Linked DNA regions of Xenopus tropicalis. The protein of the gene in region 1 interacts with the protein of each later gene in a pairwise test. Links are inferred from orthologs where the notes say so. Each region holds a gene or a part of one and is shown on either strand. Other genes may lie near its edges. The genes, in order: retreg3, stap1 and abhd16a.

The links.
Region 2: the proteins of retreg3 (region 1) and stap1 interact in binary tests that used the Homo sapiens proteins (3 or more experiments, as listed by UniProt). The two-hybrid records come from large-scale screens. The link is inferred for Xenopus tropicalis from reciprocal best matches to the Homo sapiens genes RETREG3 and STAP1.
Region 3: the proteins of retreg3 (region 1) and abhd16a interact in binary tests that used the Homo sapiens proteins (3 or more experiments, as listed by UniProt). The link is inferred for Xenopus tropicalis from reciprocal best matches to the Homo sapiens genes RETREG3 and ABHD16A.

Annotation. Positions count from the first base shown.
Region 1 is NC_030686.2:29,097,134-29,107,777, reverse strand, and holds the start of retreg3 (reticulophagy regulator 3), read right to left. Parts: upstream 6,423-10,644; 5' UTR 6,243-6,422; coding exon 6,007-6,242; intron 5,786-6,006; exon of another isoform or gene 5,495-5,785; coding exon of another isoform or gene 5,481-5,494; intron 602-5,480; coding exon 495-601; intron 1-494. Other genes in the region: tubg1 (tubulin gamma 1), read left to right, coding at 6,732-6,780, 8,574-8,686, 9,900-10,067, 10,322-10,390. UniProt on the Homo sapiens protein: Endoplasmic reticulum (ER)-anchored autophagy regulator which exists in an inactive state under basal conditions but is activated following cellular stress.
Region 2 is NC_030677.2:82,788,419-82,799,062, forward strand, and holds the start of stap1 (signal-transducing adaptor protein 1), read right to left. Parts: upstream 6,967-10,644; 5' UTR 6,840-6,966; coding exon 6,729-6,839; intron 489-6,728; coding exon 420-488; intron 1-419. UniProt on the Homo sapiens protein: In BCR signaling, appears to function as a docking protein acting downstream of TEC and participates in a positive feedback loop by increasing the activity of TEC.
Region 3 is NC_030684.2:74,869,137-74,879,726, reverse strand, and holds the start of abhd16a (protein ABHD16A), read right to left. Parts: upstream 6,357-10,590; 5' UTR 6,230-6,356; coding exon 6,053-6,229; intron 3,998-6,052; coding exon 3,941-3,997; intron 3,829-3,940; coding exon 3,762-3,828; intron 2,295-3,761; coding exon 2,208-2,294; intron 1,806-2,207; coding exon 1,720-1,805; intron 1-1,719. UniProt on the Homo sapiens protein: Phosphatidylserine (PS) lipase that mediates the hydrolysis of phosphatidylserine to generate lysophosphatidylserine (LPS). LPS constitutes a class of signaling lipids that regulates immunological and neurological processes.

The DNA.
Region 1 (10,644 bases):
TTTCTTTGTTGCCCAGGGGCTGATTTGCTATAAGCAGACCTGTTTGTTAAGCTAAATGGCATAATCATATGGCTTTCGATTTAGTCCTGACCAATATGTGTGCTCCGATAGCGTTTCATGTTCATAACAGATAACTCTGATAAAGTATGTAATCATGCTGAAAGCATCAGAAAGAAAGTTTCTAAGCAGCACCAACAAGAGACCTGTGTTTATTTGCATGATACTTATGCAGGAAATATGGGGACTTATCCATATCTTAGCCTTTATAGCCCAGGGCTGGCTTTGCTGTGAGAAGATAAGCTCACTGGAAGACTGCAATTAGAACTACGGCTTTGCAGAATACTGCTTTCAGTTTTGCCCTGGCCAGTAAAGAGTATGTGAGAGCTCATATAGGAAAGAAGAGTTGCATATATACACGTGGAATCTTGTATAGATAGAAGTATATCAAGTTTTCAGTGACAGCAAGGGAAGATAATATCAAGAATTCTCCTTACCTCCCAGTTCAGGCCACAGTTTGTTCTTCCACTGATCTGCACAAATGATTATCATTAGTCCAAATGCTACCAAAAATATGATTCTGAGAGAGGTCAGGGCAAAAAACCTGCAAGTAAATAAAAAAAAGATAGTTGAATAACCAAATTATTTTGCACTTTTTACATTTTCACCACAATGAAAAATGCATCAGCTGGGGGCACTGTTCCGGCAGCACCCACATTATTCCTGTTGTCCCAGAGATCTGAACTGTCCCGATAACACACATGCACAGGAAAATAATAATTTCAACTTTAAAGTTGCAGTCCGGATTTTTACTCTGTGGGACATATGCAATGCTCAGGACACCCAAGCGAATCGGAAGGGCCATTGATGGCATTGCAAGGCAGGAATAGTACCCCTTGTAAGATTAGAGATTATTATTTAGTGGGGGTTGCAAAAACTCTAGCACCCCCGGTGAATATCACTTTGCTTTAGGCCCAGCTCTTTAGCAATATTTCTGGCAAGGTTATGGCAGTGCATAACTGGCACATGCATTAAGTTCAAAAAGGAAAGAAAATGAATTGAATCCCCCAAATTACAACAGAAGTTGTTCTTCCAATGCGACCTTAGATCTGTCAGACCCACCATATATGTCTGAAATACAAGGTTGATGACTCCTTATGTATATGATAGTTAACCCTTTGCACAAGATCAAATGCCCTCTGCAAAGTCTTCTACTGGTGCCCCCTTACTTTTGCAAAATACTTCAGCGTCAACTGCCGCTTTATCCCAACTATGAAGTTATATATTTTGCTTTTTACCAATCACGTTTCCTCCATGAAACAGAATGTTTACTGTTTCCTACTGCCACCTCATCTCCTTGAAACAGTATCCACATCACCTCTGTCTCTGCCACCTCATCACTTACAGTGTCAGCACTACATATACATACACTACATATACATACACTACATATACAGCCCCAGTCTCTCTCTGTGGGGCATTTACTTGATTTCTTTCACCTCCCCTCCATTTCAGTTGATCCAAAGCATTTCTGCCAGACTCTAACCTGGCAATCACAGCAGTCACACTAGTAGCCATGTATCTTCTCACTTATTAAAAAAGAACTCATGGGTTTTCTTTAAAATATTTAACATTTCTGGCAAGTACAGCTGCTTATTTTTCACAGATTCTCAGCCCTCGCTTAAAAAAAACCCTTTTCATACCTTAAGATAAAACCTCTTTTATTTTATTCTAAGCAGATGCCCTCTGTGAAAAAGGTACCAGACTGAATAGTTCTCTTATATGTGTATCTCTAACAGGGATTCATCACAAACATCTTTAAAACCGTAAAGGGCACCCATCGCCCTAAAACTGTTTCCCCACCAAAAAATAGCCGCTTACAGTGTTAGGCTGCCCGCACTGGGAGGGAGCTCCAGGTTTGGGGTAGCCATATTGTGGCACTTGCATGCCCATATCAAGGAAGTGCCACAACTCACTCATAATGCACATGCGTGTGATCCAGGTGGGCGAGTCGCATCCACTGCTTTGTGCATAAGGAGTGAGCAGGGTGTCTCACTTATCATGCACATGTGCACTAAATAACATGGCCTCTCGCACCGGGAGCTCCTGGCCTAGCACCAGCAGGGACTGATTTTTAAAAAAAAAAACAAAAAAACTATTGTCCCCCCCAACCCAAGTGCGGGTTCTATTAGCCTGCACCTCTGATGGGAAAAGCAAATCTAGGGTGATAGGTGCCCTTTAATTCCACTTCTCTGCACTCTTTGTATCTCAATAAATGGCCTCTTTGTTTAAGCGAAAACCATAATGCATTAACTACATGGAATTTAGAAACCCTGCTAAAGGTTTAAATATGTAAAACACTTATCCTATGAATCTTGTGTCTTCTGGAAAGATCTAATGGTGAAACAGAGATTTTATGAATTGCTCCCAATATATAGTTTTACATAGACATTAGATCCCTATTAAACACCTCCAATGTAAACGACTTCAATCTGTTCAGTCCTTCTTCACAAACAAGGCCCCGCTTAGGGCTCTGGTACACGTGGAGATTAGTCGCCCGCGGCAAAACTCCCTGCTCCCGGGCGACTAATCTCCCTGAGTTGCCTTCCCCCTGCCATCCCACCGGCGAACATGTAAGTCGCCGGCGGGATGGCAGACGCGGCGGGGCGATTTCGGGAAATCGCCGAAAAAGCCTTGCGAGTCTTTTTCGGCGATTTGCGCGAAATCGCGCCGCCGCGTCTGCCATCCCGCCGGCGACTTACATGTTCGCCGGTGGGATGGCAGGGGGAAGGCAACTCGGGGAGATTAGTCGCCCGCGAGCAGGGAGTTTTGCCGCGGGCGACTAATCTCCCCGTGTACCAGAGCCCTTACTCTTCAGCAGTAGTTTAAGTTGTTTTTCTTTGGACTTTGATCACTGGAAACCAAAACTGTACTGCATATTCTAGAGGTTTCCCAGTACTTTGTAAAAGGGAAGTATTATCCTCAGCAAAAAATTTTTTTTCGATATTTCCCTGTTTATCACTGATGAATAGATTAAAGTGGATTAATTACCAAATTCATGGATTATAGAATGATCTACTGGCATTAAATGTATATCCAGTGCTGCCCTAGGCACATCTCTCCAACCACCTCCTCCTCTACCTGACTAGCACATACACTTTACATCCTATGCATGTATTCCAGCTGCAGAGATACAGGGATAACCCCTCCCATTCTTTGCTGGATTTAGCTGCAAGTGTCCAGTGGCAGACAAGGGGGTCACATTTTTATTTTTCTATATAGGCACCAAGGAGGTACTTCTCCTTCAAATTTTCATTTTTGTAGGATGTAGGCATGACAATTTGCATTTGGTCTTCATTGTTTAGTTGTATTTTTTATGTTTTTGTAGTTTTTTTGTTTAACAGCTTTCCAGTATGGAATTTCACCAGTGATCTGGTTGCATTAAATCTACAGTGCCCGTATATAAAGACCAAAGTGTCTACTACATAGACTTTTCCCGTCTGATCCATGCATGCCTTGCCATGTTAAAAAAAAAGACTGCTGGCAGAGAAGGGTTAAAATGTAGAGCTCTGTGTATATAAGTACAGCTATATAAATATATTGATGGAGAGCAGCAGGAGTCAAAACACCCTTGTCTACCCGTCACTGTTTCTAATACTATGGAATAACACACATGGAGCAGTAAAGCCATATAATAATCCTGCCTGGCAAAGACCACTGATGTCTGTTGGGTCTCCATATTCTTGTTGTAAGATCTGATCACTATCCCTTGATTTGTCCCAGTGCGTGGGAAGAGATCCACTTGTTTTGCAAGACAGATCTTATCAACTATGGCTAGCTTAATGGGCAGATCTTGGTGCCAAAATGCTTAAATGAGTGTTTTTGTGCTGTTATCTGCATGTCACCCCTCCATTTGTATCCAAAAGGGAGACAGACCACTCTTTTTTGACCCAAAAAATCATGTTTCTTTCAGAAGAGAATATGCTTTCCACCACTCAAAAGTAGCTCAATATTCTCTGGAAATATTATAATACATTTGTTTTTTTATCTTTTCTTTCCAGGTCAGTGAGAGTTAGGGTGAAGACACATGGAGCTACTAGTAGCAACTACTTGTTGTGGCTACTAAAATAGACAATGCTGATCATATACTGATAATTGTCTCTATGTGTGTTTTAGCAGAGGCAACTCTCAGTATTGTCAGGGTATTTTCTGGCGTTTAGTAGCCGTGAAAAAGTAGCTGCTACTATTAGCTCTGTGTGTCTTCACCCTTAAGGGCTCTGGTACACGGGGAGATTACTAATCTCCCCGAGTTGCCTTCCTCCTGCCATCCCACCGGCGAACATGTAAGTCGCCGGCGGGATGGCAGACGCGGCGGGGGGGCGATTTCGGGAAATCGCCGAAAAAGACTCGCAAAATCGCGCCGCCGCGTCTGAACCCTTTTTAAGCACAACTTTATTCACCTAGTACACCAGAAATTATGATTTGTAACAATGACCATTTTTCTTATTTAAGATTTTGGCTAACATTTAATTTTGCACCCACTCGTTTCCCAGGACAGAAGCACCTCAGTAAGTGAAAATTGCCAGCTACCACTAATAGAAAGAAAAGAGCTACACTGAGAATGGACAAGAGAGTCAAGCAGCTGTCAAAATATTCTGCCCACCCAACCCCCAATGTGGCTTGATTCTTTCTAAAACTAGCAGGGAATGTACCACATGATTTTTTTTTCCCCAACATCAGTGCCCAACCTCACTAATGCTCTTGTGGCTGAATGGAAGGAAATCCAACCAACAATGTACTAACACCTTAGCGAAAAGTCTTCCTTGAGGAGCAGAGGGTAAAGGCTGTTGTCCCAGTGAAGGGAGGAACAACCACTTGGAATAAGATGCAGGTGCGAGATGCTTTTGGCTTTAGCGTATGAACAAGTAATACAAATGGTAACAATTTATGAAGTAGGCAACCTGGCTTACTGCTACTGGGAAACAACAGAAGAAAATAAACTTTAAATGGAAGGAAAGGAAAACTGCATATAAATAAATGAAAAACAAAGCAATTGTAAAGTCCTAATTTCTGGAAACAACTTAGAAGTTGAACCTTCCATTCTACTACAAATCTCATTTGCACATGGGGTACCCAGACTGCCAGTAGTTCTTTTTCATAGATCAATCAAGCATAGATGCAAAATACCCTTGCACTTGTGGCACGCTAAGCATTTTGCTCCCTGCTGCCTTTGGGTGCCAAACAGCGTTGCTCAAATACCCATCTGCCTTTTCATTATGAACATTACAAGAGGTGAATGGCAGTAAGAGATATTTTGACTGAAAGTCTTCTCAGCTGGAGGGCAGCAATGGTGGTCAGCACGTTCACGTGTCACAGGCCATTTGTCCAGGGTTTGATCGAGTGAGAGCACCGAGAGCAATGTTGCCGACTGTTACCCCTCCCCAAGGGAAGCCATATTGACAAATACAGTTACACATACTCACAACTGAGAACTCATGGGCCCTTGCAGATTTACACAGTTCTCAGATATCAAACACCTTGGGAAACGTGTAATAATATGGTTTTCAGTCCAGTGCCCAACAGCTCACCCTGCACTAACACATTTCTATCACTGCCACATGGACAGGATCCCTTATAAGAAATAAAAACCTTGCAGCAGTTGACAGGAAATCCGAGAGAATTATAAACACATGTGAAGGTCAGAGCCCCCTGCCCAAGATCCCTGCTAATGTTCAACTACAACTCCCAGCAAGTAATGGCTGACAAAGCAACATTCTGTGGCTGAGAGGTGACAGGGAGCCCGGGCTTGGCTAAACACGAACTGTAGATTCCTAGAATGCAAGTAAACACACACAGATTTGCGGCCGGATGAAGGGTATGGCGGATACAGGACACCTGCATTCTATGCTATAGTCACATGACAGAGCCAAGAACGTTGCGGCTGTTCCTTATAGAGGGGTTCCCACACTAGCCCCGCCCCCAGGCGCTACATTAGGGGCCACATCTCACCAGAAAGCGGCATTGAGTGCCAGATGGAGCAGCGCGCTGTGCCGGGGTCTCTCCCACACCAGTACGGCCTGCACGTAGCTCAGCACCGGCTCGTAGCTGCTCAGGCCCCGCTGTAACATCTCCTGCACCTCCCGGACCTGCTCGTCTCTCTCCCTGGCCTCCACACACCGCGCTCCGCTTCTCCTTCTCCTCAGCCCGGAGGCTCCCTGTTCCTCCTCCCCCACTCTTTGCGCCATCTTCTGCCTCTCCCGGCTCTCACCAAGATGCCGCCATTGACATCAACCAGTTGCTGCCTAACAAATAAAAATAAGAGTTGTATGAGGGGGAACAGGTGCCACCTAGCGCCCAGCACCGCGCCGAGAACAGGGGCTGACCGCGGCCAAATGCCAAGTACTCAGAGGCTGCCCCTGTCTGTCTCACCTCTCCGCCTACTGCGCCTGCGCACAGCCGTCACCTGTCATTTACCATATCCGCCTTTGTTGTTTATGTTCTGGGCCATTACGTCATTCGCTTTGGCCCAATTACCAGTCGCAAAGGCCACGCCCTTTATTACTTTACTTTACTCGGTGTTAGGTGACGTCAAGAAGACTTTTTTCCCCCCCACTACTTTACTGTTTGTCTCCGCCTCAGACATGGCTGCTGGCTGCGCCTAATTGCGTCTGCGCCGCTCGCTAGTGTGAGAGCGGGAGGGGAGGCGGGAAGCAGTGTTCCTCTCAGGCTGCATCATGCCGCGGGAGATCATCACTCTGCAGCTCGGCCAGTGTGGGAACCAGAGTAAGCTGATTAGATTTATAGTTTAGTATGGTACCTTCCATCTGTCATGTTAATGCATCCTTGCGCTTCTATGTGCATAGGAGGTGGGTTGCAGTATTGGCTATACAGGCCTGGCGTTATTGTGTGTGTGAGAGGGTTTTATATATTTATTTATATTTGTTTTATAATATCAGTTAAAGGAACATGTGGTATTATGATCTGTACAGAAAGAGTGTCTGTGCATCACCTGATGCGCTATATGTGGCGTTATAGTCTGTCAGAGACAGCGGCTGTGCCTCACCTGATGCGCTATATGTGGCATTATAGCCTGTCAGACAGCGGCTGTGCCTCACCTGATGCGCTATATGTGGCATTATAGCCTGTCAGACAGCGGCTGTGCCTCACCTGATGCGCTATATGTGGCATTATAGCCTGTCAGACAGCGGCTGTGCGTCACCTGATGCGCTATATGTGGCATTATAGCCTGTCAGACAGCGGCTGTGCGTCACCTGATGCGCTATATGTGGCATTATAGCCTGTCAGACAGCGGCTGTGCGTCACCTGATGCGCTATATGTGGCATTATAGCCTGTCAGACAGCGGCTGTGCGTCACCTGATGCGCTATATGTGGCATTATAGCCTGTCAGACAGCGGCTGTGCGTCACCTGATGCGCTATATGTGGCATTATAGCCTGTCAGACAGCGGCTGTGCGTCACCTGATGCGCTATATGTGGCATTATAGCCTGTCAGACAGCGGCTAGTGCGTCACCTGATGCGCTATATGTGGCATTATAGCCTGTCAGACAGCGGCTGTGCGTCACCTGATGCGCTATATGTGGCATTATAGCTTGTCATCAGAGACAGCGGCTGTGCGTCACCTGATGCGCTATATGTGGCATTATAGCCTGTCAGAGACAGCGGCTGTGCATCACCTGATGCGCTATATGTGGCATTATAGCCTGTCAGAGACAGCGGCTGTGCGTCACCTGATGCGCTATATGTGGCATTATAGCCTGTCAGAGACAGCGGCTGTGCGTCACCTGATGCGCTATATGTGGCATTATAGTCTGTCAGAGACAGTGGCTGTGCTTCAGCTAGGCAGAATTTAATGGAATTTATTAGCTGATGCTTTTTAGGGCAGGGGTACACGGGGAGATTAGTCGCGGGCGTAAATGTAAATCGCCAGTGGGATGAAGTTTCCTCTGAAGACAACTTCGGGCGACTGCGGGACATCGCAGCGACACGTATGCCATCCCACTGGCGATTTCCATTCTAGCCGGTGGGATGGCATTACGGGGAGATTAGTCGCCCGCAACAACAGAGATTTGTCGCGGTGCGACTAATCTCCCCGTGTACCCCTGCCCTTAAGGTGAAGAGACACAGCTACTAGTAGCCGGTACTTGTCATGGCTACTAAAATAGACAATGCTGATCATATATTGATAATTGTCTCTACATGTGTTTTAGCAAAGGCAATTCTCAGTACTGTCTATGGCAGGGTATTTTCTGGAGTCTATTAGCCGTGAAAAGTAGCTGCTACTAGTAGCTCAGTTTGTCTTCACCCTTAGGTGTGCTCAAACCTGCATCTCAAATGCTTGTTAAACTCGCAGAAGTACCAACAATAGGATCCATCCAGCATGTGTCATGTATAAGACATTATATAAAGAGATTATGTAAACAAGCTGGTTCTTGTAACGCTGTTTTTTTTTATATATATAACATGTTCACATGTAAAAACTGCCTTATGTTTGTCTAATTAACAATTCACATATTTTTGGTTCTTAACAATTTCTTGTTTTGTTTGTTCTTGTCAGTTGGATTTGAGTTCTGGAAGCAGCTGTGCGCAGAACATGGCATCAGCCCTGAAGGTATTGTGGAAGAGTTTGCAACTGAAGGTACCGACAGGAAAGATGTATTCTTTTATCAGGTGAGCATCATACAACGTTGCTAAAATCAATTGTTTGAATGAAATGCTGCCTGCAAGCCAGTCCTTAAAGAGTAAGTAAACCTTTTTTTTTCTATGAGTAAAATTATTCTAAACAGCCCCCAGAATTACCTTTGTCCCAGCATTCAAAAAACGGCTAATGCACAGACTGGCTCCTGCTGCCTCCAGGCATGCGCAGAAGGATCTCCACTCCAACAACCTTGTCGAATTGAAGAGAGAACTGAACAGGAAGTGGGGGCGGGGCATCACTCTGCACAAGGAAGCAACCAAAAAGTATACCTTCTGACTGAGGAAACAGGTCAGAGAGAATGCTGGGACAAAGGTAAGTAATTCTGGAGGCTGTTTAGAGTAATTTTACTCATAGAAAAAAAAGGTTTACTTATTCTTTAAATATAATTCCTATCCTTACTAATGCTCCCGTGGGTGGAAGCAAATCCCACGAGCAAGTAAAAAAAAATAAAAAAATTCTGTAGCAGCAAAGAAAGAACCAGGCACTTTTGGCACATCTGCTTCATCTTCTAAAGGGATGTTCACCTTAAAGGTAACTTTTATCTAGTTAACAACTATGAATAAAATGTTATAACATATTCCAGTCACACATTCTTAGAGCATACATCTTGCAGAACATATGGGGGTTGTAGTTCAGAAGTTGGAATATCAATGTTAAAGGTCTGTGTGGGTAAACTGGGAGTTGTAGTTTTGCAACAACCTAATAAATTCTCCTTAGTGCAAAGTTTCTGTATTATGTGTTCTGATAATCTCTTGAACCCAATCGTGGTTATACATGAAATATAAACTAGACAACTTTGTTTCGGTACTGGAATTAGCCTGATCACTTTGGTCATATTGTATTTGTTAGCCATTATGTAGTGCTGACACCGCACTATACATTGTTCATCATTCGCTACGCATCCAGTCTATTTTGCCAAGTGTTCACTTCCCATTTTAATGATTGATTCTATGTGCTTAGGAACCCAAAAAGAAGCAATTGCTTTTTGCCACTGACTGTGTATATAAGAAATTTTTTTTTGCTGTGTGTGTGTGATATACGTCTTCTGTATTTGTAAAAATGCATAGCAACAGTGCCTTGCTGTTCTGTGCTTATTCCCTACCCAGCAGCTCCGTAGATACTAAACTGTGAACTAAAAATGGCAGAAGCACTGGCTTTCATTTGACTTTATTTTTTGTTTTGTAGGCTGATGATGAGCATTACATTCCTAGAGCTGTTCTTCTGGACTTAGAACCGAGGGTCATCCACTCAATACTTAATTCTCCATATGCCAACCTGTACAACCCTGAGAACATTTATCTGTCTGAACATGGAGGTGGTGCCGGAAACAACTGGGCTAGTGGTTTCTCGCAGGTAAAGAAATTTTGTGGGGAAGTTTAGGAAAGCTTTAGAAGCAATGGTGCTTGGGTGCTTCTGAAGTAGCAATCAAGCAAAGCAGAGTCTGGCCAAGTACACCCAAAGCAATACTACTCTGGCCTATACTCACTTTCCTGACGGAATGTCCTCATTTCTGACCATAATGCAAGGAAATATCAAATGGTATCTGGGTGGATCTTCTTTATCAAACCATGGTGTTTATACCTCTTCTGTTCTCATGGGCTCTGTAGGGTGAAAAAATCCATGAAGATATCTTTGACATTATTGATCGAGAAGCTGATGGCAGTGACAGTCTGGAGGTAAAGAACATACTCAATTTGTTGTCTAGCAGCAAGTGGTTTTGAAGAAAACTCTACATGAATCATCTTAGCACAATATATAGAGTAGATATTTATATAATATGCGATCACAGGTATGGGACCTGCTATCCAAAATGCTTGGGACTTTTGGTTTTTCGGAAAAGGGATCTCGGCACACCAAATCACATCAATATCTTGTTTTTATCCAAGTCCGATTTAACGTTTCGGTCCCTACTTGGACCCTTATTAAGGAA
Region 2 (10,644 bases), on another chromosome or scaffold:
TTGGCTTCAGATCTTCTGAACAGGTGAAATATGGGGAGACTTAAGGGCACTATTGAGAGAACTGAAGGTATGTCTGCAGCTTGAGATTAACTCTTTAGTAGCCTTTTCCTTCTCCTTTAAATCTAATTTAAATATGAAATAAGCCCAAAATGATTGTTTTGCCACCAATATGAATTCATGCAGTTTAGTTAGGAACAAGTACAATCACTAAAAAAAATAAAATAATTTTCTTAAAATGGAGTCTATGGGAGAAGTACTGTAATTCAGGGTCTCTGGATAAGGGGTTCCCGGCTCAAAGATCCCATACCTGTTATAATAATAACTTTGTCTGGGCAAATGCTTTTCTTCAACTATATTTTTTATTGAGGTGAACATGGGTTAAATAATCAGTTTATCTGATTTAATAAAATACACCATACCTTTTCTTGCAGTTTATCTGTGTAGAGGAAAAGCTTTGTCCCACGTAGCTCACTCCAGTATTTGTTTTCCTACAGAACAAAATAAATATTCTTTTATTTAATTTCTTTTCGTATTAATAATACGATGAAAAGTGTTCATTTATGAATATATTTCTTAAATAAACAAAAATCTTTAAAGGAGAAGGAAAGGTAAAAACTAAGTAAGCTTTATCAGAAAGGTCTATGTAAATACAGCCATAAGCACTCACAGAAAAGCTGCACTGAGTCCTCTATCAAACGAAACACATGATTTCTTGTCTCCTTTTTTGTAAACATGTTCTTCTGTATCATACTTCCTCTCTCATAAAAATTATTTATTCCCAGGGCCAAAGTCTGCGCAGCTCTCTCTCTTTTCCTGTTCATCCCTTTCATCAGAATTTATAAAACTCACTCCCCCCTCCCATCAGAATGGGTGATCTTAGCTACAACGGCTAGAGCTTCAGCAGGAAGCTACTAAGACCAAGCTAAAATGGCAGCTGCTATCTTAAACAAACGGAGGGAGCTTCTAGGCCTCTTTACACAGGTATGGTAAAGCTTTCTGCAGAATAAATATAGTGTTCTAGGTGGCACTAATGTGGCAAATCTACTGGCAGTAAAATGCCAAAATGACTTTCCTTCTCCTTTAAACTGTTATATTAATTAATTGTATATTTATCAATAAATATTCCAGTTGGAGTGAAAGTTTACTAATCCTATATATTTTCAAAATTCAGAACGACAGGTTTAAAAAAACAGTTGAAAGGGTAATTTCCTCCTGAGTTTCTATAAGCCCTTATATTTGTTAGCCTAAGGGCCTAAAAATCTGATCAGCGTTTATTGGGTGAGAAATTTGAGTGGCCAAAAATCTTTCTGTAAGGCTAGTTTAACAGGGAGCATGGGGAAGAAAGGGGTCAGTTTAAGTTCCTAGGAATTGAGCTAGACTCTGAGCTTATGGAATACCGGCTTCCCTAATATATGATAGACCTGGTATGGCAACTTTGGCAAGCCAGGGTGGGCAAGAGGCTGACTCTTATGTAGACTCAGTCACTGTTAGCCAGGCTGAACTTCGCCTGTCGAGTTATGCCACTAGGCAGAATATTTTTCAGGAGGCTTGCGTCTTTGACATCAGGAGCTAGGCAGCCCCACCACTTGAGATTAGGCAAAGGGAAGGAAGACCTGGCAGTGAGGAGCTCCTTCTTTAAGCAGATTAATGGCAGATCTTTATGGCAGTTGGAGCCAAGGGACAACTATGACTTGCATTTGCATTGTGTAGATCACAAGTTGTCTAATTCCAGGCAGTGTCATTCTGTGGCTACTACAGCAAATAAAGTGCTGTCTTGTATAAAAAAAGGGCATTGACTCAAGGGATGAGAACATATTTTTGCCTCTTTATAGGTCCCTGGTAAGGCCTCACCTTGAGTATGCAGTGCAGTTTTGGGCTCCAGTCCTTAAGAAGGATATTAATGAGCTGGAGAGAGTGCAGAGACGTGCAACTAAACTGGTAAAGGGGATGGAAGATTTAAGCTATGAGGTTAGACTGTCGAGGTTGGGGTTGTTTTCTCTGGAAAAGAGGCGCTTGCGAGGGGACATGATTACTCTGTACAAGTACATTAGAGGGGATTATAGGCAGTTGGGGGATGTTCTTTTTTCCCATAAAAACAATCAGCGCACCAGAGGTCACCCCTATAGATTAGAGGAACAGAGTTTCCATTTGAAGCAGCGTAGGTGGTTTTTCACGGTGTGGGCAGTGAGGCTGTGGAATGCCCTTCCTAGTGATGTGGTAATGGCAGACTCTGTTAATGCCTTTAAGAGGGGCCTGGATGAGTTTTTGAACAAGCAGAATATCCAAGGCTATTGTGATACTAATATCTACAGTTAGTATTACTGGTTGTACATATAGTTTATGTATGTGAGTGTATAGATTGGTTAGTATAGGTTGTGTGCTGGGTTTACTCGGATGGGTTGAACTTGATGGACAATGGTCTTTTTTCAACCCTATGTAACTATGTAACTGATGCAGCTGGAGCAGCTGGCTATAGAGCCTATTTTGAGGGCAATGGAGTGCAGGGGGGCTGGCCTAAGGAATGTAAGGAATTAGGCTTATGAAAAATGTCACCTTTTTAGAACTATTTCCCATTTTAGTGGCAGTGGAGTGACAGCATGAATTGAAAACCAGGCAGGTGCTTTTTAGGTCAGACAACATGGGGGTAGTTTAAGCGATAACTAATATTTCTGCTTCCTCTCCCTGATGGTTCCGGCTGTTGAGGTATCTAGTGCTAAAATGTGTCCATCTCAATAAGTGGGTGAGGGCCAGTCATGTGCTGGGTGTTTCTAATAACATTGCAGATGCTCTCAGTTTCAGTAGAGCTGGTATCAAGAGATAGCACCAGCAGCGGACCAAGAGGTACTCCTTTGTCCAAAGTGACTGTGGGATTTGGGGGCTGGGAGGTGGCAGAATTAGTGAAATGGTCTGTGTCTCAATCAACCTGGGCAAGGTATGCCAGAGTATGGGATGAATGAGAGGCAAAAAAGGAACAATTTGGTGAGTATGGGAGTGGAGTTAATGACTGGGAGGCATATTTTCAATATACTTAGTTTGGCAAAAATTTAATTTATAAAGGCTGGAGAGGACAGATGTCTTACATAATAGCCAAAACACTACTTACTGCTTTCAGCTCTCTAACCTCTCAGTTAGTCAGTGACTTTAGGGGGGCCACATGGGATATAACTGTTTAGTTAGTTTGTGAGCACACAGGTCAGATTCAAAAGCAAACTAATTGAACAGTTATGTCCCAGCATTGGGCTATTGTAGCTTATATTACATATTAATAGCCAGGAGTTAAGTGCTGTGTTGTAAGTCTGCATGAATGTGTCACTTGCAGGGCAGAAATTGAATGCAATGCAGACAGTGGTGTAAAATATAAGCATTATCACTTGATATAGTATTAACCCTGGTTACTATATTTGTGCTCCCAGTAGTTTCTGCACTGAAAGTTTTATTCTGTATTAAAAGGGGTATAGATTCCTGGGAGGAGGGAGTCATTTTTCCACTTTACAAAGCAATGTTTCCCATGTGCACTCTTTTGAAAAACTAGTGTGTGCAGTACAAAATGTTGGGTTTTAATGGTAAATTTCTTGGGCACACCATAGTTTCTTGTGTGTGCTGGTGTCAAAATTTGTGCGCGCAAGAGCACACAGCTTAGAGGGACATTGCTGATAATGCTGCTCTAGAATATGCAGTGCAGTTTTGGTCTCCAAGCCTTATATTAATGAAATAAAGTCCAAAGAAAAGATATTAAGCTGATAAAGGGAATAGAAGGTTGTCTAAGTTGGGGTTCTTTACCCTGGAGAAGAGGCGCTTAAAGGAGAAAGAAAGGTAAAAACTAAGTAAGCTTTATCAGAAAGGTCTATATAAATACAGCCATAAGCACTCACAGAAACGCTGCACTGACTTCTCTGAAAAAAGATTAGTTGTGTCTGTAATTCCTGTGCCAGAGACACGCAGCTTTCTGTTCTCTGCTCTTTCCTGTTCCCCCCTCCCTCAAGAATGCTAAGAACTCACTCCCCCCCTTAGGAATGTGGATCTGAGCCAATCAGCAGGAAGCTGACTCAGAGTCTTACTAACTGAGCATGTTCACTTGGTCTGCATGTCTTTGCAGGAGTGAGGCATTATGGAAACTTTCTTTACACAGCTCAGCGTTATTTCTTCCTTCAGGTGAACAGGTGAAAAATGGGGAGACTTAAGGGCACTATTGAGACAACTGAAGGTATGCCTGCAGCTTGAGAACTCTTTACTAGCCTTTCCTTCTCCTTTAAAGGAGGAGGAAAGGCTAGTAATGAGTTAATCTCAAAATTCAGGCATACCTTTAGTTGTCTCAATAGTGCCCTTAAGTCTCCCCATATTTCAATAGTTCAGATGATCAGAAGCCAAACAGGAAGAAAAAACGCTGAGCTGGGTAGAGAAAATTCCCTTAATGCAATGCTCCTGCACAGACACTGCAACCAGGACTGTAGGCGGCGCATGTGCACAAGCAGGAGCACTCCCCCTAGCGTCTGGTTGCCATGGCGACCGCCACCCTTATAAAAAGTGGATGCAGCAGCAGGTGGGGCCATATCAAGAGGACGCAGACGGCAGGCAGATGCTGGGGGGGAGGAAGAGGCGAGCGGGGAGAGGAGAGGAGCACAAGCAGGAGCGCTCCCCCTAGCGTCTGGTTGCCATGGCGACCGCCGCCTTTAAAAAGTGGATGCAGCGGCAGCTGGGGCCATAACAAGAGGATGCAGCTGACAGGCAGGTGCTGGGGGGGAGGCGATGAGTTGAGCTGGACGAGTTGGTGTGTGAGCTGGGGGGAGACACAGAAGGATGCAGCTGCTGGGGGGGGGGGAGACACAGAAGGAGGCAGGGGGGAGCGGGGGACCGCAAAGAGGATGCTGGAGGATGTTGGGCGATGCATGTGCAGTAGAGACAAGAGGGAAAGGGAGTGGGCATCCATTGTTAAAGATGGCGGCGCCGTTCACTGAAACAAGTATGTAGAATGTAGCAGGTGTATCTCTGTAAATCTTTCATTAGGCAAGCCAGAAATATAGCATTAGATAATTCACAGGTCAGTAACACACACTATAAATTTTATAACCATTAACCACAAATCTTAGAAACTGACAATAATAACTAAACCTATTAAAAGAGGCTAGCATTTTCATTACTGAAGCTAAAACAATGTACTTTTGCACTAGAACTTTGCAACAATGCAGTGTTGGGTAGTTCTTAAATACAGTTATGCGACCTGTTATCCAGAATAACTGGGACCTGTAGTTTTCTTGATAAGGGGTCTTTCCATATTTTGGATCACCATACAAGTCTATTTGAAAATTATTAAAACATTAAATAAAGTCAATAGGATTGTTTTTCACCAATGGATTTGTGCAGCTTGGTTTCACCTAGTTGGGATCATGTACAAGGTACTATTTTATTATTACAGAGAAAAGAGGAAATGGCATTCCTGTAACTGGAAGCTTTTTGAAGAACGACTTTCCATATAACGTTTCGCATTTCAGGATTCCTATATGTTAAATACAGCCCTGGGTGAAAGGATGGCTAACTGAAGCTTAGCACCTTTCCAAAAGGAAAGTCATATTTCTTAGGAGTGCTAAATTGTTAGGCATCACCCCCCCCCCCTGTAAATATAATTGCTAACCTTTAACCCCAGATCTACACATCAGCCAAGGGTGCATTCAAAGGGAGTGCCACCTGACCATCTTTTTTCAATTGTCCCTTGCCACATGCATGCACAGTTCATTTGGTTTTAAATGTTCAGGACCAGTGCATGCTCAATATAGTGAAATAACCAACCTCACTCTACTGTGCATGTGCTAGTCTTGACCATCGCAAGGTCCAACTGGGTAACAGTAAGGATTCAGACCATCAAATTTGTGGCATTAGCCCACCATTTTGGATTTTGTTAGGAGTGTCATGCACACATGCATGGTGTGCTCTGGGCAGCTGTTGAGAAGCTAAGAGAAGCAAATAAACAAGCAGATAATGAAGTTCGCCTATCATTTAGGCTGATACTGCAGGGCTGATTATTAGACTGATGCAAATTAAGCTGGTTTTGGATCTGTTATGTAATGAGAATCTGAATTAATTACTAATCATTTTTGCATTGTGACATTTATTTTCTATAAATACAGTATATGTTATTCCCTAAGCTCAGGTTACTAACAGCACCATGGAGCATGTGGCAACATTGAGAATCAGCAGTAAGGAAGGTGGGAGGCTACTGTGGACATATTCAGGGGCACAGATCATCTCTGCTTGTCTTGGACTGGTACAGAACCCCAAAACATAGAGTGTAGTATTTATACCCTACTTCTTTGTTAAGTTTTGGTCTCCTTTAAAACTATAGGCAAAAAAATATGTTCAGCACAAGCTCTATTCATTGAACTAATATTGAAGAGGTTATACTGCCTCTTTAACTAAACACTAAAATGACAGTATGTTGCCACCTCAGACTATCCATGCAAGTACAGGTATATGGAACTACTTCTGGGAGAAGCTTAGGAAAGTCATCTATATTTTACTAAGCTGTGATAATCATCATAATCTAGTCACTTAAATAATGTTTAAACTGAATACATTTTACCACTTGGCTAAAATGTCCATTATTGTGATGGTACTATATTTGCCAACCACCTCACTTTCCTCTGTGTTCAGACTGTGCTATTAATGTGAGTTTTCATGTTTAGCAGTTCCTTCAAGCAGTAAAAACTGTATTAAAGAAAAGAAATTCACATTACCTTTTTCATGGCTCGTCTGATCCATAGATTACCTTCATAGTATAGTGGCAGTGAAGTTAAATTGAACTTAATCTGATGGATACGCCGAGAGGCAGCAGCTGGGCTTGCCATTCTCTATTGTGAAGAGTCTCTTAGCTATCTTAATTCTTATATACAACAGCAAAGAAACTTCTATGGGGAAGTAATTGCAGTGTACCTGCAAGAAGGAAGTAAAGTAAAAATAATTCTCCAAAAAATGCTGTTTGCTTAATATACTCCTCCCCATTCACCTCTGTAAGGGGGAGGAAACCTAGATGGATCAAACTCCATCTCTAACAACATACTATGCAATGACCTCAGGCAGCAATAAATACTAGTTCTGCTGGTTTAACTCTAGCTGTCATCATTACAGTAGGAAAATAGATGAGATTTTCCCACAAGGGAAAACACACAAATCATGCATGAGATTATATTTTTATACAGGTTTCCTTATTTGTTCAATAAATATAAACACCTATTTGTTATGTAAAAGCTGTAGAGAACCTCACCCCGGGGAAGAGACAGAGGTAGAGGGAGGGGTGGGATTAACAATAAATGCAAATAATACTTCTTTACAATTTCTGTTATATGAAAGGGGCATCATTTGGGTGAGCAGCAACAAAAAAGCCTATTATCACCATGCTTAATGCCAAGTGCTGGAGGGTGCTGACATTAGAATGGAGGAGAAACACTTCTTCTGAAGTTATATATGGTATTTATTAAATGGCAGATGCCAAGCTCCCTGCAGATTTATCAAAGAGTAAAATTAGTGCTCACCACAGTAAAATTTCCTCACTCTATATTCATTCCTATGGGATTGTTAGAGGCCTATTTATCAAATGGTGAATTCACTGATTGCATTAAATTTTCATGATTAGGCGTATTCATTTATTTTCAGTAGCTGCTGAAAAAAAGCTCTAGTAACTGATGCATTTTGAAAAAAACATGTTTTCCCATGACAGTTTTCCTCTAATTTGGTATGCCAATGTTTTTCTAGCACATGCAGGCTTTCTAAACTTTCAGCAGAATTTAGTTCAATTTGCATCAAAGCGCACATGCAAGTGCACACATTTTTTTAGCCACAATTGGTTTGCATCTTGCCCTATTTTTGTAAATAAGTGCTTATTTGTCTGGCAGGTCAAGAAAAGAAAATAAGCTTTTTAATAATCTGTGAAGAGATGTCTTTGCTTTCTTTTATCAACATAATAAAAAGATTAACCAACGTATTATGAAGACCTGGAGTGTCAGTTAAACCAGGGCTCAGCTCTTCCACTTTTTTAATACAACTTATAAAACGCACAACTCTTTAGCTCTTTTTAAAAAATCAGCATGACATTTAGAATGAATATATATGCTCCCACAACTGGTGTATAATTTAACAAAAGTGGTATATAGAATGATTTAATCTTGTCTGATTTCAGACATTTTCTGGAAAATTACATCCTCTCTCATAATATGCAGTTCTACAAGAAAACCCAACTGGGCTTCTTTCTTACAGTTTATAAGCTATGTATAAACATGTTGATGGTATAACAAAAGCATGCATAAAAATCATTTTCTATACATCATACGATGATAGTCTCAGACTTTTTCACTAATGTACTTATAAAAAGTTTGGTAGAGAGTGACAGTATTTAGAGAGTTAAGTGTTAGTATTGCATGCAGAAATGCACTTTAGATGCAAAGTACAAAAATGTTGAAAGAATAAATCGTGATGATTGTAACTCTAATTATATTTATGAGTTTGGATATACATAGTTATTTTTTTAAGTGCTTAGTAAAACTAACAAAAAAAAACCACAAAGACTGGTAAACTGGTAAAGACTTTAAGGTTTACTTACTGTTACTTTTGATGCAAGTGAAATATTGTCCAATTATGGGAACACTTATGCCAAGAACAACAATTTATGCACACAGCATTAGGTACATTGCCCAGAGGCACTGATAGTGGGGACAGGGTCGGACTAGGGGGTGCAGGGCCCACCGGGGCTCCCACCCCAGGGGCCCTGCAGGTGCCCCCGCCGGCCACGTCCCCTAAACCCCCCCCTTGCAAGGGCCCTCACCCGGCATCCTCCCCGACCGTGCATAAATTTAACGCGTCAGGGGAGGAGCGGTCAGGCCTCCTCAAGCCCTAATTGTTCAATGAAAACATGAATAAATATATATCCCAGGGTCCAGTACGGGAAATTTGACAGGTACTGCTGGCAAATTGTATCAAGTTTCCATAATTTTCTGGTTGATGATCAGTGAAACCTCTAATACAAATAGCTAAAGGGAAATTAAAATGACAATTAAAGGGACACCCTAATAAATAATCCCAAATCCTTTTCTATCATGTTAGTTGAGCAACAGAAACTTTACTTACACTATATCAATTATTAAAATTTTGTTTCCTTCAAACTATTTAGTCAGCATGATCTGTTGTGTTCTTAAACTACACTGGGATACAGGCTTGCGGTCTTACTGAGTGATTTTCTGGGGTAGCTTTAAAGGACACATATTGGATAAATAGAAAAAAAACGAATTTTGTAGGCAATTGTGAATAATATATGGTGCAGGTTTCACTTTGGGCTAAAAATGAATCCTATCTGTAAAAATGACCCCTTTATTGGCGTTCCCTATAGATCCTATCAGCTGTCTGTCCCTGTTTCAAATGAAGGGTGGGCGTTTCTTACCGGTCCCAGCCAGAAGCACAGTAGGAGGGGGATAGCCAATCACAGCCTTGCACTCACCCAAGCAAAGAGAGGCTTCAGTTCCATATCAGGTCAGCCTAGCTGCTGATTGGTTTCTATCTTAAGGTCCCCATGCACGGGCCGATTCTAGCTGCCGATATCGGTCCCTTAGACCGATTTGGAAGCTAATCGGCCCGTGTATGGGGACTACCAACAGGCCTGCCCGACCGATATCTGGCCTGAAATCGACCAGATCTCTATTGGGCAGGTTAGAAAATCTAGTCGGATCGGGGACTGCATCGGCTCGTTGATGCGGTCCCCAAACCAACTGCCCCATTGCCCTGGGGCCAAACGATTGAATTAGCCTACACGCTCCTCGATACCGCCCACCTGTAGGTGGGGATATCGGGTGAAGGTCCGCTCGCAAATCTTAACGTGTATGGGCACCTTTACAGCACAGTGTACTGAGAGCCTCCAGCGGGAAGTGGAACAGATGGGCGGGACTAGTGGGGTTTTGGCAAAATCTCTCAAAAATCAGTCTGAAACACAACTTTTTTACGCACAATCCTTCTATATTTAGAAGAGTATAATTCACTGGTACATGTCTCCTTTAGGTTGATGGCAGACGAAGTGTAGGGCGAATATTTTCGGCAAGCGAAAATACCGCCTTACGCCTCCTACTTGTGCCTGCACCACAATGAATGGAATACGCTCGGGTGCAGGCACATGTAGCCGAAATCTGCATAAAAATGTGAGACACTGCATTTTCTTGTGTTTTTATGCATATCTCGGCTACATGTGCCTGCACCCCTGGCGGGGATGCTGGGGCAGGCCAAGCTGACTGAGTTGCCCACCTCGCCCCTGTACCTTCCCTCTCCTGGTGTGTGCGTGTCTATACACAGTGCCTTTGCGAGGGGGCACCCCCACCCACAGGGGCACTGACTACGGAACGCTTACTAGGGGGAAGGCAGGAGAGGTACCTGCCAAAAATATCCGCCCTACGCCTTGTCTGGCATTAGCCTAAAAGAGAATCCAAGCTGCCCAAACGTTAGTGACATTATCAGGTATTATACAGCTTTAATGAGTGGGTGACAGGTCCCCATTTAAAAGTGATTGCCGCTATTTTCCTCTAAGTGAGCCCTTTTTGTCCCTAAATTTTGAAAATGTGCAAAAAATTCCTGATGCCAGAATTAATAAAAAAAACCCTAAAAACTTAATCACTCACG
Region 3 (10,590 bases), on another chromosome or scaffold:
GCCACAGATTCTCGATTGGATTTAGATCTGGACTGTGACTGGGCCATTCTAACACATGGATATGTTTTGTTTTAAACCATTCCATTGTTGCCCTGGCTTTATGTTTAGGGTCGTTGTCCTGCTGGAAAGTGAACCTCCGCCCCAGTCTCAAGTCTTTTGCAGACTCCAAGAGGTTTTCTTCCAAGATTGCCCTGTATTTGGCTCCATCCATCTTCCCATCAACTCTGACCAGCTTCCCTGTCCCTGCTGAAGAGAAGCACCCCCAGATCATGATGCTGCCACCACCATATGTGACAGTGGGGATGGTGTGTTCAGAGTGATGTGCAGTGTTAGTTTTCCGCCACACATAGTGTTTTGCATTTTGGCCAAAAAGTTCCATTTTGGTCTCATCTGACCAGAGCACCTTCTTCCACATGTTTACTGTGTCCCCCACATGGCTTGTGGCAAACTGCAAACGGGACTTCTTATGGTTTTCAGTTAACAATGGCTTTCTTCTTGCCACTCTTCCATAAAAGGCCAACTTTGTGCAGTACACGACTAATAGTTGTCCTATGGACAGATTCCCCCACCTGAGCTGTAGATCTCTGCAGCTCGTCCAGAGTCACCATGGGCCTCTTGGCTGCATTTCTGATCAACGCTCTCCTTGTTCGGCCTGTGAGTTTAGGTGGACGGCCTTGTCTTGGTAGGTTTGCAGTTGTGCCATACTCCTTTCATTTCTAAATGATCGCTTGAACAGTGCTCCGTGGGATGTTCAAGGCTTTGGAAATCTTTTTGTAGCCTAAGCCTGCTTTAAATTTCTCAATAACTTTATCCCTGACCTGTCTGGTGTGTTCTTTGGACTTCATGGTGTTGTTGCTCCCAATATTCTCTTAGACAACCTCTGAGGCCGTCACAGAGCAGCTGTATTTGTACTGTCATTAGCACTCATCAGGCAATGTCTATGGGCAACTGACTGCACTCAGACCAAAGGGGGCTGAATAATTACGCACACCCCACTTTGCAGTTATTTATTTGTAAAAAATGTTTGGAATCATGTATGATTTTCGTTCCACTTCTCACGTGTACACCACTTTGTATTGGTCTTTCACGTGGAATTCCAATAAATTTGATTCATGTTTGTGGCTGTAATGTGACAAAATGTAAAAAATTTCAAGGGGGCCGAATACTTTTGCAAGCCACTGTACCCGAGTAAAGAGCCCTAGAAGCTCCCTCCTGGTATCTTAGCATACTTAGTGAACGTATAATGCCTGCCTTGCTTCATCTTTGCAATGTGACATGGAGCTTTTTCAGGGGCTTAATATTTCAGTTGCTGAAAAATCCCCCAACAGCACTTGTCAGGACATTGTTGCATGAAAAGCTGCACAACTGCTTTTTCAAACAACTGTCACCTAATAAGCACAATTCATAGGCAGAACAAGAGAGAATGTATGAAAAAAGTTATGTTGAAATGAGGTTTAGGAATTAGCCACTCCCTCTTAAAAATATGTAACAATAAACCATAATCTCTCAGATATGCTTACTCAAATATCAAGGCACTTATGTTAATACTGCAAACCCATTTTTTTAGTTGCAGTCTCCACCCATCACACACACCATAATACTTATGTATCACATATTTAAAAAAACACAGCACCTGGAACTTGGAAATTACAGTTGTAATTAAATGGCATACAGGCAGAAAAAGCACCTATGCAACACAGGCATGCTCTAGCACCTTACTTTGTTCTCTGGGTTGTTTTCTATCTTGGTTCTCTCTAAAATGTAAATAAACTGAATATAATGAGGGTTGCTCCATCTGCCAATACCTGCAGGGAAAGACAGTACAATGTAAAAAGTGATAAGTTGCATTTTTCCACATCATCTGACTGGGGCCATTTGGCCACATGAGAACCTTATGCGTAATCAGTCCAGTTATGTTGATGGCCAGATCACATCTGAACTGCATACTCATAAAGAGGTCATCAGCAGATAAAATCAAACTAAGATCCACTGTCATAATTTAGTAAAACTACTAAACATGAGGCTTAGCAATGAAGTTGCTAAACCCCACCAATCTATATATAACTAGCTATAAGTGTCTTATACATCATTAAAGGGAAGAATTTAATTGCTAATGCAGGATCAGCATTCTTATAAAGCAGTGTGTAAAATAGTAAGTACACGTAGCTCTGTTTTTTAATCATGCTTTGTCCTATAGTTTTCCTTACCTCTCAAGCACACAACCCCTGCCAGCAGAAGTAGAAATGTCAGACCATATTGTCCAAGGGGAACCAATCGGGACATGTTCAGATAACCTGAAACCCAAAAAGATGATTGTCAGCACAGAGATATCAAAAGCACAGATCTAACTACATCAGGCATTTTTGTAAAGGGAAATAACAAAAATTAAACAAAAAAGTTAAATAACATTCTACATACACATGTTTTTTCAGAAGACTGGAAGTACAGAAAAGGAGGCAGAAGAGCTGAACATAAGAGATGGCATGTCAAGAAAGCAGTACCAATAGAATTAAAAAAATGAGTGCATAATCAGTAGTTAAGACAACTGAATAGGTTAAAATTAGTATTAAGAAGGAAAATATTGGGAAAGTCATACAAACAAGCATAAATACAGTGTTAAAGCACCCAAAACAACACCCCACTTACTTACACTATAATCACAAGTCAGGCACTTCTGCCAGTGCTTATTAGGTGACAGTTGTTCGAAAAAGTAGCTGTGCACCCTTTATAAGCAACAATCTCCTGACAATTGCTGATATAACCAATTGTCAGGTAATTGCAATGTTAGTCTGTAGTAGGGATTTTTTTCAGCAACTGAAAGGTTAAGCCCCTGAAAAACTCCATGTCACATTGCATTAACTTTGGGACATTATGCACATCAGTCTGAGCTCACAGTGACTGTACAATGAAAGAGTTAATGGTTAGTTGTTTGAAGGATGGTTTGAAAAGCTGTTGGATGGATAACTGGCTGTCATTATTAATCAACTTAAAGACAGAAAAAAAGACATCCAGTGTATGTAATTTAGCGCTAAAGCAGCTAATATAGCAGTGCTACACACAGAACATTTATTGGTTACAATACCAAAGAAACCAAAGATATTTGCTAGTGCCTCATGGCCCCTATGCTCTGTTTCCATATGCATGCATTTTGCACTATATCAGACTATATCTCTGATGAAGCCCCCAATGGTGGGAAACGTATAAGTAGGGCGGAGCATGGGGGCCATGTGGCACTAGGAAGTGACTATGGTCATTTGGTATGGTATGCATTTTTTACTGAATTTTTTTAATTTGATCTGTAGCCAATAAATATTCTGTGTGTTGCACTGCTGTGTTGTTGTTGTTGTTTATCTGGAGAATTATGGGGTATCCAGTATGGAATAATTATTTTTTCCTACTTTTTAAAAAAAATAAAAAAAAAATAAAAATGTATTTAACACCAATACACTGGACCCCAGGTACCCATTTAAATCACATTACTGATAACTGCCAAAGCATTATGGTGTCCCAGTATACCCAAGCAAAACCAAGAGCTGTGCAATTTTGCTAGTCAACACCTTTTTTGTCTGTGGCAGTTCTGTAGAAATCTGCAGCAAAATAGTAACACCATCATTACAAATTGTATAATCACATCATCAAATAACAGCTTCCATATGTGTACGCTAAGAAAGTTTGTGGATAATTTTTCACCTTTATGGCAGCGAACACAACACAAACTATATTAATTACTGTATTGATTGCATGTTGACAAGATTCCATACCTTTTCTGTACATATAGCAGATAGCAAGAGGGGATGAATAATAGGAAATGGTCCACAAGACTGAAACCTAATGGGGATAGAAAAAACCCAACAGCATAAAATACCATTATTTTAATGTAAAAGTGTTTTTATCTAGTCCTATCAATAACCAACTACAGCAATAGGAATTCCATACGTACCCAAGCTAAAATGCTATCTGTGTGTTTCTCCAGTGCTCGTGGCTGATAAAAAGACTCCTTTAAAGAAACAATAATTGGTAAGGAATACAAGACAATATGCTATTAACAGTAAAAAATAATGCAAAATATAATCTCAACTTTATTCTTAAACCCAGCCAAGTAAAATATTTATTACAAATACATAACTAAAAGTCAGATTTGAACACAACCAGCCAAAGCTAACATTTAGCTCTAAAGTGATGCTTACTGCAGGTCTACACTAATATCCTCTTTAAAAGGTTAAATATTTTAAATGTAAAACAGAGTACTTGTAATGATGAAAGTTTTATACAAACCCTATTCTACTATACAAACTATTCTACTCCTCTTCAGCTTGAAACTGTAAGTATTATGTGGTCACTAGAGCCATCCCAGTGTCCATGCAAATGACTATTCTCCATGTGTATAACCTTGTATTTTAAACTGGCCATTAAAAATGGAGGATTTGCAAGGTACAAATCGGTTCCTATCCTCCCTCCTAAGGATACCGTAACAGAACAAGCCCAAAGTAAAGGTCCATGCAAGTAGCCCATTGGGGCAGATGACTACAAATGAAATTTATTATGAATCTTTAAATAACATCAAAATAGGTTGTAAATAGCAAATAATTTTTTAGCCTAATTTCACTCTAACTGGCCATCAGCCTTGCATCCTAGCAATATATAAGGCATATATATTGGTTTTATATATAGTGTTATTCTGAGACAACTTGCAACTGGTCTTCATTTTTTATTACTGCTAGTTTTTTTTTATTATTTTACTTTTTGTTCCACAGCTCTCCAGTTTGAAATTTCAGCAGTTGTCTGGTTACTAGGGTCCAATTTACCTTAGTAACCAGGGAGTGGTTTGAGAGAGTGACTGCTATATGAATATCAGAGGGGCTGAGTAGAAAGATAAGTAATAAAAGCAGTGATAAAAATAAAATTGTAGCCTCAGAGAGCCCCATTTGAAAGCTGGAAAGAGGCAGAAGGTGGTACATAATTTCGGAAACTATAAACAATAAAAAATGAAGACCAACTGAAAAGATGCATGGAACTGGCTATTTTATAACACATTAAAAGTTAACTTAAATGTGAACCAGCCCTTTAATATCCTAATACCACATCTCCAAACCCAGAGCTGTCAGCCAACCCTAGATCACGAGGGAGATAATGATCCAGTCCTTCGTTATTTTAGGCCTGAATATCTCTTCACACTAAGGGGCATATTTAAAAAACGGCGTTATAACGCATAAAATTACGCCGCCGTTCACGGTGTAAAATTCAGCGTACTTAGGTACTGGCTGCTATTTCTGCATTGCGTAAAACCGCAGTGTATACGGAGTTCTTTCTTACGGAAATGACAGCGAAAGCGTGAATGTAATTTAGCGCATGCGTGTTCTATTTCAAGCTATTGTTTTCATTTATAGGTTGGTTAAAAACGGCGTTATTTATTAAAGTTTCCGCAAGTTGTTTTCATTGGTTGGTTAAAAACGGCGTTATTAATTTAATTTATATAAAACGTGATAATTACACCCATTGAAATGAGCGTAAAATTTGCGTACGCCACCGGCATAAAATTTGCTTACGCCGCTGGCGTACGCGCGGAAATGAATAAGATCGCCAGGCTATTTTCCGCGATGGCGAATAACGGCGGGAAAAGACGCGGTTGAAGAACGTCGGAATTAATGACGCAAGTTTAGGTTTACACCGCGTTTAACGACGAAAAAACGGCGTAAATCCTTTTACGCGCTTCAATAAATATGACCCTAAATGACAAAATGAAATAAGGTGTTAAAAAGGCCTGCAGCAGCTCATTATCTCCCACATGACATGGTTTGGGTGACAGCTCTGCAGGGACTGGCTGTGCCTGAATACTGCGCTACCTTTCTAAGTTTCTATATTAGTCCAATGAAATAAGTACACATGCGCCCCTACCTGGTACATACAGTATGCGCAGGATACAACTGAACCGTAACATTATACAGGCTCATTGTTAGGTAATGGGCCCAATGTCAACTCTCATTTAAAGTGGCCCTGCCTATTGAAAGGTCTACCTAAACAACATGGAGGAATACATCTCATATTCCCTCACCCAGGAAACCCCGGGCTCTTCCTCCTCCTGGCCCCGTCCTCTAATCGCCGCCGTCCTTCCGTTTTGCCGATACACTCGGTAGAGCCGTGGGCCCTTCACACACAGATACAGCAGGGCCATTCCCCTTACACATCTCCGAATTAAGCCATCCCCCACCGGCCCCCCAGCAGCCGCCATTCCAGCGATATCAGCACTTTATGTGACTCCCTCAAGCAACTAGCAGCTCACGTTATGAGGGTCACCGGCAGGAGAATGAATATGTTGTGCTTCTAGGCGCTCGTCCAATCAGCTGACAAGAAGCCTGTGAAACGGTAAAGTCCAGCGACAGATGGGCGGGACTCCACTAATAAGGAAGGGAAGCCGATTCGACAAAATACATGCAAAGGCGTGTCCTTGAGAAGGCGGGGCTTTTATTAGTGTCGCTTAGAGATAGGAAGCAAGGAAATGTACTAGCTTCTATATCATGCTAGATATTGTATCTGATAAGTTAATACTTGTTCCAGGCTTGTAAAAGCATTTACTTTTATTGGTTGGTCGTACGTATTGTATTCTGTACGAATTCTCTACTCATTTTTCATGGTGTGACTGTAGGGGACGCAAATACATTATTTTCTTACTTCTCAAGACAGAAGTACCAGCATGTTAACTATTACCCGTGTGGGAGTTATTTGGCTCAGGGATGGTGGGGCCAGTTCCTGTACCTAGTTTGTACCAGGAGAGGGAGCACATGGTTCTCCAGCACATATAGTACCAGGGTTGAATGTTCTGGGAGCCAGGGGCATAAGGCCCAAAGCTGACTGGCAACCTTAGTCATTTTCGGTAAAGGCAGTGGGTAGCTGTTCCTACCATAGTAACATTTGGCACCTCCAAGTGGTTTGCGCTTTCCTTCTGTACTTTCCTTACTTTTGTATGGTCAGCCACCTTTATCATTAGAGATGATGGCATGGAAACCGGATTATTCATCTAAGAATAGCATACTTTCTCTACACCAACCTACCTTTTTTTCCAAAAAAGAAATGAAATGGGGTACTTACCCATGTGGGATTCTCTATGTACTCCACACTATCAAACTGCAAAGCTTTGCTAAAGTTAGCGGTTTTAATGAAATTTTTGAAAAATGCCTTAGAGCTTTTGTTTATACTAAGAATTTGATGGCAAATGTGTGTGGTTTGGAGGCATTCAAAAATGAAAATTATACGTAAGAAATTTCATGGTTAACAATTTGGCTGCTGCATTTTACATTTTCTAAAAGCCCCTAAGAGTATGTGGACCTCATATATTTTCAGAAAGTACACATTCTGACAAATCCAAAATGAATAAAGAGTTTTTTAAAACTTGAAACTACCAAGCTGCGAGGCATTGCTAAAGGCAGTGGATTTTATGACATATCTGAAAATTGCCTAAAAAATATTGCAATTTGCCAAATTTATATTGCACAGTTTCTTACGTATAAAGATAAAACATCCTAAATATAAACGTCAAGGGTCTATTGAACAGTTTGATGCTCAATGTGCATAGACTTACCATAGTATGTGGCATGGTGACCCTAAATTTAAAAGAGTGCATGTGGATTTTCTCAGCTGCTAATTCATCTTCTACTGCCTGTGTATTGTGTGTTATAAGAAGGGGGTTCTTATAACACATAATACACAGGCAGTACCCCTAAAACCCATATATTTTTGAAAAGTGCACATTCTGACATTCAAAATGGGTCAAGATATTGTTATACTCCAAACTATCAAGCTAAAAAAGCTATGCTAAAGTCATTGGATTTATGATACTTCTAAAAATCATCTAAAAATATTGAAATTTTCTGCATTTAGGATTGCAAAGTCTTTACAGCAGGGGGCTGAATAGGGCCTTCCAAACAGCAGACGTGGTCCTGTTGTGTCTGCTGTTTAGGAGTAGGTTGCATCACATGAAAGATGTGACAGCACCCTTGGCTTGTTGCCAAGGGGGTTAAAGGAACAGTAACACCAAAAAATGAAAGTGTATAAAAGTAACTAAAATATAATGTGCTGCTGCCCTGCACTGGTAAAAGTTGTGTGTTTACTTCAGAAAGTCTACTATAATTTATATAAATAAGCTGCTATGTAGCCATGGGGGCAGCCATTCAAAGGAGAAAAGGCACATAGTAGATAACAGATAAAACACTATTGTATTCTCCAGAGCTTATCTGTTATCTGCTATGTAACCTGTGCCTTTTCTCCTTTTTTCCAGCTTGAATGGCTGCCCCCCTGGCTACACAGCAGCTTATTATATAAATTATAGTAGTGTTACTGTAGCAAACACACCAGTTTTACAACAACAAACATTTGTAATGCGCTTTTCTCCCGGAGGACCCAGTTTTACCAGCGCAGGGCAACAGTGCATTATATTTTTATTACTTTAAAGCTCTTTCATTTTTTGGTGTTACTGTTCCTTTAAGAGAGGCTCTAACTCTGCACCATAAAGTGGAAATAGTGCTGCGGAAATGGTTGCGACTCCCACTTTGCGGAAGATTTATCATTTACAAATTATTTTCCTCCCCAAAATTATTTTATATTCTCCTCAAATCCATATTTAGTTATATTCAAATGGTCATGCCCTTAATCTCAGTGAATGAGTCCCAAATTTTCCTGGGAAAAACTCACTGCCCCAATATATGCTGGAGGTCTTGGATTTGAGCCCTGTGGATATACTATATCACACTGCAGTATGTAGTGCATATGGGGTGGTGATGCCAGACTTTGACAACCCAAAACACTCATCTTGGCTGTGGAACTGGGCACAATTAAAGATATGGCTCATGTATGTAAAGACTTAAAGGATCTTACCACAATTACTTTTCCCCATACCTGCCATCTTTCAACTGTTGTACGGAAACTCCTCCTTTCCACATTTTTGAAACCTTGCTGACTTTGGCATAGGAGAGGCCAACATTCATGAAAAACCTTTACCGTATTGGCCCTCCTCCAAGGAAAGTATGTATGCAACATCACCTCAAGTATTATCAATAACACCATGCTTTTTCCTCTGAGATTGGGGGTTGACAATGTCACGTATGAGTAACTGTATCCTAGACTTTCTATTCCAGTCAACCCCCTAAGGTAGTTTCCATTCCTTGTGTCCCAGGGATAAGTTATACATCAGATATATCTGACCCCAAACATACTAGCCAGTATGGGGAAGAGTCCCAATGACCAGTGCTGGAGATGTGGGAGGGAGAGGTCTTTATTTCTCCATCTGTTCTAAGACTGCTCAACTAATTAAAACTTTCCAGTCATATTGGACATCTAAAGATTTTGAATCATAAAGGGGCAGATGTATTAATGTTCATTAATCTGTGTTTGGACAACCAAATGATGAAAAAATGAGTATCATATTGTCAAAAAGCAAATCAGTCAAAAATGAAGGGGTACTGTACCTTTTTTATTAGCATGAGTTAAATAAATAGGACTTCTGCAGAATAAAGAAGTACTAAAAGGCACTACATTTGCCCAGTATCAGTAACCCATAGCAATAAATAAGATGTTTGCTTTTAAACAGGTGACCAGTAAATTCTACTTGCTGATTGGTTGCTATAGGTTACTACTCCTGGGCAAAGTTAGTGCCTTTTATTACACAACCCCCTATGATTTTTATTATTTCTTGAGCTAAACAGGACAAACAGACTGAGGTTTCTCCATGTTTCCAACTTCCCATTTAATATAGATAAATAAATTACCAGGACACAGATAAAACCACACATAATGCACTTTTGCTTACAGTATCTTTTAGCCAAGGCAGCTACAAGAAAGGGGTGAAGTATTCATTACAAGTCATTTATGATAACTAGCACAGTTACAGTCATGCAAATTTCCCCACGGTTAGTTGCACAAACAAATCTATTCTATTCATTAAAGAGGACCTGTCACCCTAAGAAATAATTTGAAATTATTTTTTATTGTGTTTGTTAAGCAAAATAAACTTCACTTACATTATATAAGTAATGTAAATCTTGTTTCCTTCAGTCCTGGAATTACATAGTCATATCAAATAGGTAGGTGCCATTTTGTGGACACTGCTATTAAGGTAAGCTTTGTATCTTGCCAAAATCTGGTTTCTGTGCCAGTATGGGGGACCTGATGCTCATGCCGGTGCAATGGTTACAAAATTAGATGGTTAGGAGGGAGGGGGAATGAGAGGAGTGCAGCAACATATAAGAATTTCTGAATTTGAAGTGAAAGTAAGTGTCTGCCCCGCCTCTTTGCCTTAGGCACAGAGGTGGGCCAGAGAATATATGATTGACAGTTGGGATTTTTAAATGCTTTTATAATGGGTATGGATGTGTTAATAAAAAAATGAGTTTGGGTTTCATGTTTAATTTGAAAAGGACTTTTATTATACAGCTTTTTATGTCTGGGTGACAGGTCCGCTTTAAAGGAGTACATACGTAGGATGTCAGCGTCCAGAGATCTGCAGGTCTATCAGATTTCAGATGCTGTCTTTTGGTATTCTGGGTGGAGGTGTTTTTTTTTTTAACAATGATCCATATGATTCCATGCTCACAGGGGCTC